3 linked regions of the Caenorhabditis elegans genome follow. The protein of the gene in region 2 interacts with the protein of the main gene of each other region in a pairwise test. Each region holds a gene or a part of one and is shown on either strand. Other genes may lie near its edges.

Region 1 (4,428 bases), on a different chromosome or scaffold from region 2:
ATAAATCTATGTAAAAATATCTAACAATATCCAGAACATGCTAGTGAAACTATTTACTCTCAATTAAAAAAACAAAAACTAACCAAACTAGGTGGTTCTTCACAATGTTTATCAGTCCATTTACCATTGACATGCCTTCGAACATTGTGTCGTTTTGCTGTCGTGCCTATCACTACTCCAAGAATTAAAATGAAAGCTGTACGGAAGCAAATCATGTCGCAATCGACAGAAGAATCAAATAAAAGATATAGGCGAGAAATGACTGTGTCTCTCTGTGTGACCCTTTACCCGATGATGACCTAGTGACATCCACATAAAGTGAAAATTTGGGAGGAGTCGAGGATTCATAAAAATTGAAAGTTTTAGGAAAAGTTCATATTCAGAGTACTTTGTATTATTTTGGATTGTTTTATTTTTAATGGAATCGGGTTGATATAGAATGTTTCAAAATCATCCATTCGATTTTAAAATGAAATTTTGAACTTGATCCTTCTATCTATTTAGTTTCCCCTGCCATTAAACAATAAAAAATAGTTTAATAAAAAATAATTTATAAGGAAAAGATATGCTGATATAACTTTTTTATTTGATACTGATGAGATTCTTTGACTGGAGATTTTCAATTGATTTTGCAATGAGAAGCGCGTTGTCCTTCTGATACCCTCCACTGGTTACCATGCAAATTGGAATTCCTTTTGATTTTGCTAGATTGAACACAACTTCGTCTCGAGCAATTATGCACTGAAAATTTGATTTTCAAAAAAATATGCAACATCTTATTTCAAAATAGACTATACACCAAATACCAAACTCGTATAACAATATTCCTTGCTTTCACACACCTGTGGACTCAATTTCATTGCTCCCAGAGGATCACCAAGTAGACAGTCTGTGCCAGCGTTGAACATAATGAAATCGAAACCAGGAGGAGTAGTTTTCTCTCTATCAATTAAACACTGTGCCAGTTGTTTGCGTAATTCGCTAAATAAAGTCGGTCAGTGAAAGCAGAAAGCCGCTATGAATACTTACGAGAGGTAGGAAGTATCAGTCGTATGACCATTTACATGAACCGCTCTGTTAATAAATTGACGAGCTTCACGATCATGTGGATAGACATATGGATTGAAAACATCAAATACAAACACATTCGGATTGTCAGCAAAGTCTCGTGCATGGCCATTTCCCTTAAAGTATGATTCAAGCAAAAAATTGGATTCTTAAATTTTAATAATTTTTTTAAACAATTAATATTGTGATTAATATTTCGAATTAATATCTAATATTTGAGAAATATCTTTACGGGCTAGACATATTTCATTCACGTTCCAAATGGTTTTCCAAAATGATACCGTAGTCTATAGAATTCTTAACGTAACTGTAAGGTAGCTAAAATTTGAGGACAATTCTAACTTTGAAAGCTCAGATATCGGCCATCTATGATTTTAGGCAAAATACTTCCTTCATGTGATGTCAGACTGTCTCATTGCGGTTTGATCTACAAAACATGCGGGACTTTTTCCCAGAAAAATTGTGACGTCAGCACGTTCTTAACCATTCCAAATCAAATGAGATGTCTGCGTCTCAACTCCCGCATTTTTCGAAGATCAAAGCGGAATGGGATTTTCTGACTACACGTGTTCCTTTGAGTTATATGCTGTCAAAGTTGAGCAGTGAAGGTGCCGCACGCATCAATAGAAAATATACGGTATTTTATATTCTTTCAAATGTTTTTTCCAGTACCTGATGAGCATCTAAATCTACAACAATCGCGTTGGCAATTGCCTTTTTGTCAAACAAATCGAAAATTGCCATGGTGATATCAGCGTAAAAACAGAATCCACCTCCGCCCGAATCTGAAATTATAGGCTGCTGTACAATCCCATAGCGTCTATTTTTCTTGCGGAATAACAAAAACATACGAGAAGCATGATGGAAACCACCACCCACGTTGATCGCCCAACCATGTTTTAGAGCCAAATTGGCAGCTAAAACTGTTCCACCGGCTTGTAAACTGGAAAACACAAATAAATGAATACAACAATTACTAGGAATGATACCGTAGTGGATGCAATAACTTGCTTTCAATAATGCACGGTGGAAGGCAACCGACAAATGGAATCTCGACGATTTGTGCTGCTTTAATAGGATTTCGAACACTTTTCAGATATCTAAAATAATATGAATAAATTTTTTTTATTAGTTGAAATTGTTGAACGCCTCATCTAACTTTTTTTTAGAATGTCAACTATAAACGTTATGAGCTTAATTATTTTCTTTCAATTTAAGTATGGGGCCATACAAACATGATTTTTTCATAAACCAATTCCACGATTCAATCACATTCACAACACTTTCATGTGCCTACTTTCTATCATGTACTCTAGTGAGTTCTTCAAATGTCGGTAGATTTGGCTCAACGAGTGTTTCATCAGTGATCAGATTCATTTCTTTCAAATGTGTAATGACTCTTCTCCATTTCGAAGAATCAAATGGATGTAAATGTTCGATTCCAAATGCAGTTACATTATATTCAGAATGATAGACAATTGGACGTTGATAACTTTTTAAACTAAAGATTTCATCTTTATCTCTGAAATTATTGATATTTTTGGCATTTCCAACTGCATGTTGTACTACAGATTAAATTTCAAAACTCACCGCTCTGCCATTCAAAATCTGCGTAGAATGAGTGGTTAGAGCGGATAAATAAAGAAGTAGTCGTAAAGATTCTGTTTTTCTTGTTTTTGTTATCAGAAAACAGATAACGAATTCTGAAAATAGTGGAAACTGCCAAAAGATGCCAATTGTGGCGAGAGAGCCTGTGGGATGTAGAGTAGGATGAGAAAGGATGGCCTAACTTTTTTATCGGCCATCCGCCGTGTACTTCACCAGGACAAGATGTTTCGTCTTTCAGAAACTCAAATCATCACCAAAGTTTGCAGTTTTTCGAAACAATTAACGGTGGGAAGACGCCGAATTAATTTTATCCGTTTTAAACATTCTTTTTGCTTTTCAAAACATTTTTCTCCTCTTTCTCAAGCTATAATTACTTCTGAATTGGATATTTTAGGAGTGAATCGCTGAACAGCGGATTCGAAGTCTTCAAAAATGGATGAATTACCGGTTAGCATTTTCAAAATTCTTAATGTGCATTCTAATCTTATTTTAGGTACTAAACAGTCTATGCAAAGATCTATATGAGAGTGTCGATCCGCAAGCCCGACACCGAGCCGAGAGTAACCTTGCGGAACTGTCAGAGTCACCCGAATGCCTTCAAAGATGCATGCTTCTCTTTGCACGAGGAGATGTAAGTCGAAATAATAAAAGTGTTAAACAATTTACATAATGATTTTCAGTACCCATACGGACCAATGGTAGCAAGCACCACACTAATGAAACTTCTCGGCGGAAAAACTAGCATCACTTCTGTTCAGAAGCTCGAGCTTGCAAAATATTTATTGGAAATGCTAGGTCAAGGTGCACCTCAATTTCCTCCATATCTCGTCACATCACTTTGCCAACTTTTTGCAAGACTCACGAAACAAGAATGGACGTATCAAAATCCCACAGAAAATCAAACAGAAGACACAAAAATTGAATATCCATTTCGTGATCCGGTTGATAGCCTTGTCAAAACAATCAACATGGATAATATCGAGGAAAGTATGCTGGCCGTGCAACTGTTAACCTTACTCGTTGCTGACATGAATTCAGCTTCGGGAATGGATTCAGTTAACAAACATCGCAAGAATCTTTCGCAGTTCAGGGACGATTTTTTATATGAGATTTTCTCGGTATCTCTGAATGTTTTGAACGATAATGTGGACAGAAATCTGAACGATCGCCAATTGGGTCTTCTTCACGCGGTTCTCAACTTGAATCTCCAATGTCTACTTTTTGATTATATAGGAAGTTTGACAGACGAAACAAGTGAAGACAACTGTAATGTGCAAATCCCAACAGCATGGAGAGCAAGTTTTACTGATGGAAAAATTGTACAGCTTATGTTCAAACTTTTAAATGTGCTTCCACAAGAATCAAGTGAAAAAGTGATGACAATAATAGCTCAATTGGCAAGTATTCGAAGAACGCTTTTCAATGGAACAGAGCGACAGGCTTACGTTCAAAAACTTGTTGAAGGAGTTGTCAGTGTAATTATGAACCCTGGGAAGCTTAGTGACCAGGTAAGAATAATGAAAAATTAAAGGCAAACATATTTATATACCTGATTTAGGCCGCATTCCACGAGTTTTGCCGTTTGATTGCTCGTCTGAAAACAAATTATCAGCTGTGCGAGCTCATCGCTGTTCCCTGCTACAGTCACATGCTAAGGTTACTCGCGGAATTCACTGTACAAAGCCTACGAATGATGGAGTTCTCAGCCAACAGTACATATTTTCTTATGACATTCTGGCAGAGAATGGTGAC
Region 2 (7,750 bases):
GGCTCCACTTACGCAACAAATCGTTCTCTTATTTCGCTTCGATCGACCACCAGTATTTAAAAGATGGGTGGTCTAGATCTCACAGAAACCTGCACTATTTCAACAAGATAAACACGACGGAATGTTCGTTCACTCTCACACTTCAGCCGTTTTTTTCCTACGAGCGAAACAATCAGCGGGGCGGGTAGTGAGCGAGTTGAGACTGTCTAGACTCGATGTGGTGATCTCTTTGGAGTACAGAGAATGTTCAGAGTAAATACAGTCCATTCGGCAACATTTGAAAACAAGAATTTAGTCAAAATTTATCAGCAATTCCTTTAGAAAGTTGGTTCTCAAACCTAAAATTTTTTAACGACATTTATAAAGTGGAACTGGAAATATCTTTGGTTCGGGAAAATTTGAGAAATTTAAATTACTGAAACTTTAAAAGTCATATTGAAAATTGTTATCCATTGCAGGTCAATAATTTTTGACTGAAACTTCAAATCTTGGTAATTGAAAAACGGTTTGACTAAATAGTGAGTCACTAGAACTTTGACAGTTGGTAAGACAGTTTTCAACAAAACTATTACTTTTCAAAGTTTTTGGTAGCTTCTCTCGAAAACATTCCTAATATATTTTCAGGTCCAAATCAACCTTTACCAAAAATGTTTCCTCTGTAATTTTCTTGTCAATCCCACTTTGTTTCTACCGCTTCTTCTCCTTTCCATTTCGAGGACACAGTCGAGATCAAATGTGTGCGTTGAAACTGCCAATTTTCATTCTCTCTCTGCTAACTGAACACAAGACCTGAAGGTGCTCATTAGGCGAAATTGAGAAATATTGGATTACTGTAGGCTTAGATATGTAATCAATCTGAAACTGGTGACGCGGGTGTTCAGAAAAAAAATTGTGGTTGGGTTGGGGGGTTAAGATTCAAATGAAGAAATGAAAAAAGCTAGTAAAAGCTGAAAGAAAGTACTTAGCTTATGAATATTAATTAGGTCACATGGGAGCAGTTATGAATTTCCAGTCCTAATTTTTTCTACAGCCCGGTGCCGGGATCTTGGCCCTATGGACTGAAAAAAAGCTCAAGAATTGTATTTTTCCTCGAAAAAAAAATATAATTAAGCTTTCTATATAGGCTCCAAGGTTCCAACTTGTGGATCCATAATTCTAGACATAGTTTCAATTTCCTTTAAAGCAAGGTAGGTCACATTCCAGGAATGTTTAATAGTTTTCTAAAATACAGAAAAGTCTAGAAAAGCCTACCCAACGAATGATAATAAAAGTTCGAACAAAACCTATAAAAATTGAGTTACAGGAAATAAAATAAAAAACTAAAAGTTTGCAATTTTCTCTCGTCTCTTCTCTTTCCATGATCACACGTACTTACAGGTGTCCCCAAAAAACGCAGAGATCACACGATTCGCGGAGTGTCAGCCAGAGAAAAAATATGTCGTCGCGAGAACTGATAGCGGTGTCCCCCTCCACCGCCATAGTCTCGGGGCGCCGCTCCCTCCCGATATATGTTTGTCTGGCGTCTCTTACCAGGTTTTCTCACGTTCGGCGTTCTCTAATTATCGTCGTGTGAGGTCTTCTATCCAATCGCGGGTGGCATCAGTCGCCAAAAAAGAGGCGGCGCTTCGTCGCCGCGACTCTTTCTTGCTGGGACCCGCCCCGTTTCACAGGAGGGGAGTGCCTATTACTCCCTCTTTTCCTTTTCTTTTCGATATTTGAATGCTATCGGTGCTCTAGGAGCTCGATCTTGACCCCTTGTTGGAGGAAATTGTACTTTTGGGTAGGTGCTTCCAGTCGATTCAGAATAATTTTTTGGGGTTTTTGAAAACAGTAAAATTATGTGAAAATGTTTCCATCTTTGCGTCTACAATTTGTGGCTGACTTTCCTAACAGTCTACTCTTTGAAATTTTTGAGAAAATGGCTTAACAAAAACTTGAACATTTGATCTGATGTACATTGTAGAAATACTGTAGCTCCTGACTTGTCTGTTTGTCTTGGTTTTAGTCTCTACAAAAAATTATTTCTTGATAAAAACCTCTAATTGATTAAAAATTGAACCTTTTGTAACACGATCAAATGTTGCCAGTTGCAATTAATCGATTTTTGTGATTTTATAAAGTTTGCAGTTAGGTTTGAAAAACTTCAAACGTATTTTATTTAGAAATTTATTTGCTCTTTTTTTCCTTCAAGTCAAATAAGCAATACGGTTCTGTAAATTAATAAAACTTTGTTGCCATTAAATATTGAAATTCCATGTATATCCGTTCTGAAAAATTCTTTATAAGAAAAAATTTCAAACTGGTTTTTAACATTTTTAACTATTGCAGGTTTAAAAACATACAGTAGCCCAACTTTATTCCACATTTAAAGTCACAGAATGAGCCCAACGTTGAATTGAACATTTAGATTATAAAAACGTATTTTATATATGTTTGAGCTATCTGTAATTTTTGAAGAAAAAAAAACTGGTTTCAAAGCTCTCTAAATTTTCTGTTTTAAATTCTCAAAATTCTTAACATTATAGGAAAAGAAAATTTTTTTACTTTACTTTGAAAATTTTTTTAATCCGAAAGATATACACTGGAAACTAGAAAAGATACAGTATTACAAAAAAAATTCGCATTACCAGCTGCTCCTTTAAAAAATTGAAAATTTGTTCCGATGCAAAGAACAATATTTTTGGCGAAAAAATGTTCTTTCTCACAAAAATCAGTCTTGAAAATTTGACTTTTCCACGACATTTTCAAAATTTCGTAATTATTTTATAAGTCAAGATTAGAGTATAGCAGTTTCATATAATGCTTATAGATCCCTCTTTTTAATTCCCTAATTAAAAATAAAAATTTCAACAAAAACAACTAAATTCATAATCTGAAAAAATTTTGCAGAGGAGCTCTAATGCTCACCGAGGATCCCGTATCGGAGATTTGTGAGGCGAAAGCAGTCGATGAGCTCGCCGAGCAAGAAAAAAATTATTATTGTCAGAGATGTTTAAATCATGGGGAGTTGAAGCCAAGGAAAGGTCACAAGCCGGATTGTAGGTGAGCAATGGTTTTTTTTGCATTTTTAAACTACATTTCATCTGAAAACTATTTTGTCATTCCATGTTTCTCCCTCATTCACCCTTAATTATATACATCACGTTTTAATGCTTAAACTCTTGAATTTTTTGATAATTTTGGGTCTTGCAACGATAAAAAGTTAACAACTGTTTAATGAACTTTTTGTAACTTTTGTTGTGCCGAAAAAGTATGTAGTTTATCCATAAATACTCCAAATTCCAAATTTTATCTCAAAATTGTCGCGTCACCGACCTTATTCACCCACCATCAGTTTTTTTTTTCGCGAAGCCCTCCGACAAAGACACCCGTAAAATTTGAGATGTTCGTCTACCGATTACGATCGGGCAAGAAAAGACGCAAAGCAAGAAAAAACAGCTGACCTTGTCGATTTAAAGCGAAAAATACCACCCATACAGGTGAAATTGTTATTATATGAGTGAGGGGGGTCAAAAACGAATTATTATATGGACGCGAAAAACGGAGGAGAAGAATGGGAAAATGCAAAGAGGCAAAAAGTTATGTTTTATACATTAACCTAAACCATTTTGAAGGTGGTCTAGGGATACTGTAGATGTTTCACCAAGGTGAAAGATGACTCAAAAAGATCTTGCAATGACGACAATTATCACTAAGCTAAATTGAAGATGGATTAGCGAAATCTGGGAAACATTTTAAAATGACTACAAGAGTTTTTTGAATACCTATGTGAAATTTTTTTAATTCCCTGATTTCGCTACTACACATTTAATAATATGTATATCAAGGTGTGTTACTCTTTTTAGGTTTTTTTAAACGCTCGTTTAAAGAATTTGTACTTCTCTGGTTTAAATATCCAAAACTCGCCCGAAACGACCGAATTTCATTATTAGGCTTTACAAAAATAATATCTATCCGGTTAAAAATTAAAAAAAAAACTAGTGAAATTCTGCCAGCTTCTTCTTCGGTCGATCATTTTTTCCAATGTTTAGATAAATTCAAAAAAGCGCTTCTTTTTTTTCGAGATATGTTTGGGAAGTTACATCATGAATTTTGGTTGTTTGGGATCAGTTTGAGACAATTCAAGCAACTAAAAATTTTTCAGCCTTTTTTATTATTTTTTTTGGAACCGAAAATTATTAAAAAATTATGTTTGCTTTTCATTCAAAAATCTTCATTCATTTTTTGACATCCAATCACACAGATACACTCACTTTTCAAACAAACCATTCCACAATGACCTATACAGTCGTAAAATTCCTCACCCAATTTTTTTTTTCTCCCAATTTTTTCAGTTCATATAATTTTTAACAAAAGATAGGGCCTATCTCTATTGTGAAAAGTCTAATAAAATATTTGAATGGGTGGGCGGGTTACTGTACAACTACAAAATTCTCCCGTCGATGACACCAAGTGGCACTGAAAAATAAACAAGACGAACATTTTACAGATATCTAAAATGTCCATGTCGAGAATGCACGATGGTCGAGCAGCGAAGACAGTTGAACAATTTGCTAAGCAAAAAGAAGGTGAGTATTCTATAGGGATTCTATGGTAGGTGTGGCTGTAGGTGGCTGTGCCTTACCTCATTCCTGTCTGCCTACATTTCTGTTTCGCGGTGTAGGCGGTCTTGAAGGTTGTATGTGCGTTCTCACGCACTTAAATACCACATCTTATCAGTTCACCAAAAAATCGCAACTTCAGATCAAATCTGACATTTTCAAAATGAAAAGTGGGTTGACGTCTTGGCTTTTTTCTCTTTTTGTAAGAAAAACAATTGAAGATACGAATAGATAGAGTGTGAAAAGCAAAGAAAAAGTGAGAAAAAGATTGATTTTATCGGATTTTTTTAAGGGTAGGTATATTTTTCATGAAGTTGTTCTTTTTCAAAAGGGGCTCTTGTTGTGGCAAGTCACATATAGGTCATTGCCTGGCCATCTATAGGCGTACCTACCTTATTGTTTTATTTCAGTTATTTGTTGAAAGTGTATTTTTAAATGAGAAAAATGCTCACTTTGGACCATGGGTATGCGTGTAGGTATGAGGCAATTGTAGGCTGCATTGACTGCAAGCATTCTTGAGCCTACTGAAAGTTTATACCGAATTTCTTGGTTATTGTTTTTGTGATTGCATTAACTCCTATAATATTACTGTGAAAATAAAACACTTTTTAGCGGGACCCCTTATAAACCTTTCCAAATTTCCAGATCCACTGCACACCGGCAACTCAAACCCGTGATGGGAAGCGTGTCCGTGACCCACACTGTGCTCGGTGCTCGGCTCACGGAGTCCTAGTCCCATTGCGGGGACACAAGCGGACAATGTGCCAATTTGTGACATGCGAGTGTACATTGGTAAGTGTAATTATACTGTCATCATCGGCAGTCAGGCGCCCTTGACAACATTGCAGTTTTTATGCTTTTCAATGTCACCTGCGCGAAGAAATTATAGGATTATAAAAGTACTGTAGGGAAATGGGGGAGTGGCTTGCCAATGAGATTTGAGAATGTGACTTTTTGAAACATTTTGATAAGTTTCAACTATTTCGAAGTATTTTTAATGCAACAGTGCTACGAATTGACTTTTTAAAAATTGTTGTGGAGCAGGCAACTTGGAGCATGCTCTTGGACTGACAGAGAAAGTTGCCACATTAATTTGTGTGAGATTTTTGAAAACGCGTAAACAGAACTACGATTTTCGAGTTTAAAAATATTATTTTTCAGTGTACTCTTGTGGAACACCGTCGAAATCTTATGGCGGCTCAAATCAAATTACGCAGATCACAACAGAAATCCCGAGATGGTAAAGAACCAAAAAGGAACTCTCGTAGAAAATCGAAAGATATGGATATGGAGATGATGGTTGTCACAGCTACAGATGGTCAAAAGATAATTGGTAAGCTATGGGATTTTGTAGAAGTGTGTAAATTGAGCTTTAAGTCAGAATCACAAAAATTGGAGTCTAAACCTGAAATCCAGTCGGAAGTAATTCTAGAGTTGACGGTACGTATTAACGTTATCAGAAACATAGATTTTACCATCAACTCATAGATTATATAAAATGGCTACTTGTTATTTCCAATTTTTCGTACCGAAACAATCAAATACGGGAATATCCAAACGCATCAATAAACAATTACGAAAGTTAAGAGGTTAATTTCAAATATGTCTAGAATCTCAAATTGGTACAACTTCTCAGTTATAGAATATGTCTTTCTGCTTACCTATCAGGCGGGCCCTGCCCTGAAAGTTACTTTGCCTTAAAGATAATTACCACTTAAGCCAATGTATTTTCAAAATTCAGGGGAAGACAAAAAAGTGGTAATTTTGATGCAAATATCAACGCAGACAGTTAAAATTTATATTGTAGCTTCAAAGAAATTAAATCTATAATATTCCAGGAACATCAGCAAGTCCATCTCCATCCTCAACCACTGATACAATGTCCCCATCCCTTTCAATGTCTCCACCATGCTCTCCATCTCCACTTCTGGCTCAATACACTCTGACGCTGGCTGCTCCGATTCCAATCTATCCGCCGATCCCAATGAATCAACAATTGATAAGCTTGCAACAACAACAGTTCCTGATGAGCATTATTCAAAATATGGCTCCATCAATCGGACAACAGGCTCCACTCCTTCCAGGCATTTCTGCAGGTTCTGTCTCATCGGCAGCAATTTTGAATGAGTTCTGGAGTATGTATCTGAAAAATTATGGTCTGCAAGCCTAAGATCTATAATTTTGACCAATTATTGATTTTTAGAAAAATTGTATGTTTCCCTTCTTTGCTTAATTTTCCACACAATCTCTTTTTATCTTTGGTTTCAAACTCAATGATTTTTTCATATTTTCTTGAATTTTCACTTTTTACCAATTTTGTTATATTTTCTAATTTTTTCATTCATTTTTCACCAAGTGAACCAACCAATTTACCGATTTTTTTCTCGTCTTCAAGACCGCTTGTGTTATTCCAAAAATCCCCATTTTTTTTAAATTCAAATAATCTTTTCGTCTCTCACCAAACCACATACTATCTTTCTATGTCTCTTCGCCACCTAATCATGTCATCAATTTCTTCGAAAATTCCCAAATTTCACCGATATTCTTCCGTTTGCATCGATTTCCCACTGTCCCCGCCCAAATTGAGCTGAGCTCCGCCCACACTTTCCCAGGATTACTGTATTGTTTCTCGCTCTGCGTCTCTCATTCTCGTTCCCTCTCTCTTTGTTTTATCTCGGAAAATAGGATCAAATCCTAAACAGTTAACCGGTCCGTTTTAGACACCCCCGGTGGTAATAATTTTGAAAAAAAGTGAAATCATGTTTTTTAATGTTTTGGTTTTAAAAAACCAAACATTTTTTGGAGAGAAAAATGTATAGAACTTCCAAACATACAAACACACGACGCATCGAGTCTAATAATTATTGATTTATTTTTATTATTTTTGATTTTTCAATAAACTTTTCATTTTTAAATCGTCTTGGTTCTGTATGCAAACTTGATCGTACAGCAATTTCCAGAAAAAAAGTTGGCGGCCGAGCTTTCTCTTCCGCGGCCATGTAGAAACCCATAGACAAGGTCTTAGCACGAATGAAACTTTTCCGTTACCGTACCATAGGGTATTTCCCAATTTCTCCTGTTTCAGAAAACATATTTTTTTTAAATTTAAACTTTCGTTGCTTCTGAGTTTTTAAAAAGTTTTATTTTCA
Region 3 (3,996 bases), on a different chromosome or scaffold from region 2:
GGTCATGTTAACCGAAACAAAATTTCTAATTTTTTAAAGATTTATTTTAAATTTTTCAAAAATTGAAAAAAATCTGATTGTGAGATTTCACTGGTAAATGAATTTTTCGGCCATTTTTTTCAAATTTTCAACCATTGTCATTAAAGGAAACTTGACAGGCCGAAAGGAATTGGGTGAAACTCTAAAACTGGCCTGAACTTAACATTAATTTTTTTGCTGTAAAATGCATGCAAATTTGACAGATCACGTCTCAAATAAAAAATCAAAAAAAGTGAAACTGCTCAATTTAGCCGGAAAGCTTATTTTTGGAATAGCAAAATTTGAAAAAAAATTACAAAAAATTCTACAAAATATATATTTGAATTTTAACATTTAGTTTTTTTTTAATATATGGGATTGCTTCCTGACGTTTTATGCAAAAAAGGCCGTGAAATTTCTAAATCCAAGCTTAATTCCAGATATGGTGGCTGAAAATTCGGAAAATTCTCTGTAAAAACCGTGACTTTATAATTCAATTTCTAGTCGAGTCATAAATTGATAAGAGTACAATTTTATTAATTTATCACTTTTGCAGAATCAAAAAAAAGTTTTTGGAAATATAAAACACAAAAACATCAAAATATTATTATCATCATGTTTGAACTGAAAACCCGCACAGCTTAAAATTTCGATGGGGTTTTTACTCTTTTTGAGGTGCAACTGGGAAGGAACTAGAGTTTTACAGGGAAAAGACAATAAATCACAGATTGGAAATTGTTTTTTTTTTTGAAAAATTAAAAAGAAAAATCAATCGGTTTCAGCGCAGCTAATTGCAGCGCTAAGCTCACGGATATTCTGAAAATTTTGAAAGTTCTGGAACAACATTTGCATTCCGATAGGGGTCATCAGGAGAGGATTCGGGAAAAGAGTTGGAGCAGCTCCGTACATAAGCGGAGCCGTGAAAAATGGTGAGGCCGCGGTGGACATGAGAGAGGGTACGGTAAGAAATGAAAGCGGTAGGCTTGATGGAGCAAGTTGTGGAAGAGCAATTGGTGAATGCGGAAGGAGAAGCGGCATTGGAGATGTTGTCTGAAAAAAATTTAATTTAGAAATTTTAGAAATTCTGGAAAAAACCTTTTAGAGCAGTTTTTAGGACGAGACTAGTGCATGCCTACATGCCTACATACCTACATGCCTACATGCCTACATGCCTACATGCCTACATGCCTACATGCCTACATGCCTACATGCCTACAGGTTTACATACATACATGCCTACATGCCTACATGCCTACATGCCCACATGCCTTTTCAGGTTCAAGCTGTACCTGAAAAAATTTTCAGAAAATCTGAACCTCACCTCAAATGGAGAACCAGCCGGACTAGTGCTTGCATTTGCCGAAGTCGCTGCAGGAATCATAAATCCCCCGGCACTGAAGTCGAATTTCATCTGAACCTGCGGAGCCATGTTCAACTTCTCTGATAGCATTCCAGATAGCGAGCAATCCGAGGATGAAGCCGACTCGTCCGAATTGCAGCCCGAAGAAGATGAGAGTGACGATGATGAAGCCGTGGTGGAGCCCTCTTTTTTGGGACTTTTCGGTGCGATAGCTTCAACCGTGTTGCCCTTTATGCTCATTTTTCGCTTCTTAATATGCCGGTCCAGGGCACGACGGGAATCAATCAAGTTACACTGTTGGCATTCGCAGCTGGAATATTGGCACTCCTTTTTGTGATTTTTCTTCCAGACGAGCACATTGTGATTCTTGCATTTTTGGCAGAAATAGCACATGTTCATGTTCTCCATGACAGCTTTTTCATCTGCCTCCCCACCTGTGAAGCCTGGGAACACGTTGGCCTCGCTGATATCATTGGTACGCTGAAACACGGGGATAGTTAGGAAAATTAGGAAAAAAATCACAAGGTACCTGGAACTTCTTGTCTTGCTCTCGTCGGAGACGAATCTGAGTTGACATGATCTCCCGTCGCTTACGGACCAAGTCACACTGCTCACACTCGCAACTTCTATATTCGCAGGTGTGCCCGCGCGTCTCTACGAAAACTCCATGCTGCTTGCACATTCCACAGTGCCGTTTCACATCTGAAAATTTAACAAAAAATAAAACTATGTTAGGCGTAGGCCATACTAATTTCTGAAAAAAAATCAGCAGCCGACAGTTAACCAACCATACATTTTTCTACTGACCCTTTCTCGTGAAACCAATTAACTGTCGGCTGCTAAGAAGCTATAGCTCACCTTTCGGGATCCTTTTCCCTTGGCTGAAAAATCTCTGTGCTCCAACATCCGGGGAGAGGCTGTTGTTTGGTGAAAGCCCTTCTGGAGCACTGAGCGATGAGGCATTTGAAGAAGATGACAGGGAAGATGAGGACATGATCAGGTAAGTCTGAAATTTTCCATTTTTCAAGAGTTGGAAAAGTTGAAGCACAAAATGAAATTGTGAGGGCTACAAGATAAGGGATGCTTGAGCTTGATGACCTGATTGGCTGAAATTTTATAGACACTGCGTCAATGGAATATTTACAGTACTTTCAGTCACTTGTCTGAAAAAAAATCTTGTGACATGTTTTACTAGTCGCCTGATAAGGCCCTGGGGGCTATATAGACGATGCTTTCAGAGAAATTTTCAGGGAAAGCATAAGCAAAACAGGAAGTTGTAGAGGCTTGGGCGCGTGACCGAAGTTTTTCTAGTTTTCTTCGGCCACCAAAAATTTCCCTTATCTACAGTAACCTAGCTCCCCTTGGAGCAAAAAAGCTATCGAAATGAATTCACAAATGAAATGGAATCGAAATAAATAAATAAAATTTCATCCGCCTTTCCCATCTTCAATCCAGGAATGAAAGATTTTCTGTATCTGCCGGCTCCGCCTCTTTCTTGAATATCCCTGATTGCTGTCTAACCATGTCTAACGTCTCCGCCATCCCTCCCCACTCATTCGAGAAAATTCGCCGTAAACATTCTATTTTGGCTCTGCGGAGCTATGACGGAATTCTCATGTCGATGGGGGAAATTACGTAGATTCGCAGTTTGCGTAGATAAGGAGGGGCAATCCGGTCGGGGTTTTACGCGGATCAGTATGGAGCAACTGAGCAGTTGGACTAAAAGCCGATTTATTTCATTTTGTTCACAAAAAGGTGGTGCTCATCTCGTTTTGAAAACACTCGAATTTTTTAAAACTTGAAAAACTTGCTGGCCGACGCCTATGACATATGCCTATGACCTCCACCTATGGCCAACGCCTATGGCCTACGCCTACTGCCTACGCCTATGACCCACGCCTACTGCCTACGCCTATGACCTACACTTATGGCTAATGGCCTACGCCTATGGTCTACGCCTACGAAACCTTGGAAAATTCAAAGTTGAGCAAGCTGAAAATCATTGCAAAATGTTTCATAACAACCACAAAAAAACACTAAAACTAAAAAGATTTTCAGAAGTTTCAACAAATCGGATGACAAATTGTGTCGAAAATCAATCGCTCAGAGTGGTTTCAAATTTTGTGTGGAAAATATAAGAAAATCTGTAGCGGATTTTGACGATTGCTAATCTTTTTCTCGCATTGCTTAGCCCTTGTGTTTGAATTATTAGGCGATTTAAATCCATTTCTGTGATTGCCTTTATCATGCTTTTTTTGTTTTGAATGATTTTTTTTCTTTTTCTAAATAATGGAATAATTTTTTAAAATGTTTTTTCTAAACAATGAAATTCGATCTAAATTTGAAAAGGAGCCTGGCAAGCAAGCCCGAAAGCCTCGTTCACCGACTCCAATGCACCAAATTTTACACGCAAGGTTAAAAAAAAATTCTGTACCGTCCTCGATCACTGTCGGCTGCACAAAAAAAACATTTTTTCCAGTAAAAAAAATGTTTAAAAAAACTATACTAAAACATGTAGGAACTAGTTGTTTTATACTAGTTTATGCTCATTTGGGAAATGCTCATTTCTGATCGACAAGTTTTGTTTTTTTGCCACCGTCTAGACGCTCTACCGTAAT

Evidence for each region. The genes of interacting proteins can lie anywhere in the genome.
Region 1: the proteins of mab-3 (region 2) and hda-11 interact in a two-hybrid assay, tested with the Caenorhabditis elegans proteins (one large-scale study listed by BioGRID).
Region 3: the proteins of mab-3 (region 2) and dmd-8 interact in a two-hybrid assay, tested with the Caenorhabditis elegans proteins (one large-scale study listed by BioGRID).

Annotation. Positions count from the first base shown.
Region 1 is NC_003283.11:10,524,551-10,528,978, reverse strand, and holds hda-11 (Histone deacetylase 11), read right to left. Parts: upstream 2,796-4,428; 5' UTR 2,670-2,795; coding exon 2,659-2,669; intron 2,591-2,658; coding exon 2,366-2,590; intron 2,169-2,365; coding exon 2,058-2,168; intron 2,012-2,057; coding exon 1,920-2,011; intron 1,854-1,919; coding exon 1,741-1,853; intron 1,185-1,740; coding exon 1,030-1,184; intron 982-1,029; coding exon 843-981; intron 742-842; coding exon 583-741; 3' UTR 535-582; downstream 1-534. Other genes in the region: F25D1.3 (Interleukin-17), read right to left, coding at 84-215; xpo-7 (Exportin-7), read left to right, coding at 3,109-3,123, 3,170-3,307, 3,357-4,184, 4,235-4,428.
Region 2 is NC_003280.10:9,730,523-9,738,272, forward strand, and holds mab-3 (Protein male abnormal 3), read left to right. Parts: upstream 1-1,708; 5' UTR 1,709-1,780; intron 1,781-2,889; 5' UTR 2,890-2,899; coding exon 2,900-3,042; intron 3,043-4,488; exon of another isoform or gene 4,489-4,489; coding exon 4,490-4,568; intron 4,569-5,246; coding exon 5,247-5,393; intron 5,394-5,762; coding exon 5,763-5,934; intron 5,935-6,439; coding exon 6,440-6,771; 3' UTR 6,772-7,513; downstream 7,514-7,750. UniProt on the Caenorhabditis elegans protein: Transcription factor which binds the DNA motif 5'-[CGA][TCA][TA]ACAATGT[AT][TGA]C-3', probably as a monomer.
Region 3 is NC_003283.11:334,067-338,062, forward strand, and holds dmd-8 (DM domain-containing protein), read right to left. Parts: upstream 2,385-3,996; 5' UTR 2,373-2,384; coding exon 2,237-2,372; intron 2,081-2,236; coding exon 1,908-2,080; intron 1,859-1,907; coding exon 1,340-1,858; intron 1,069-1,339; coding exon 787-1,068; 3' UTR 535-786; downstream 1-534.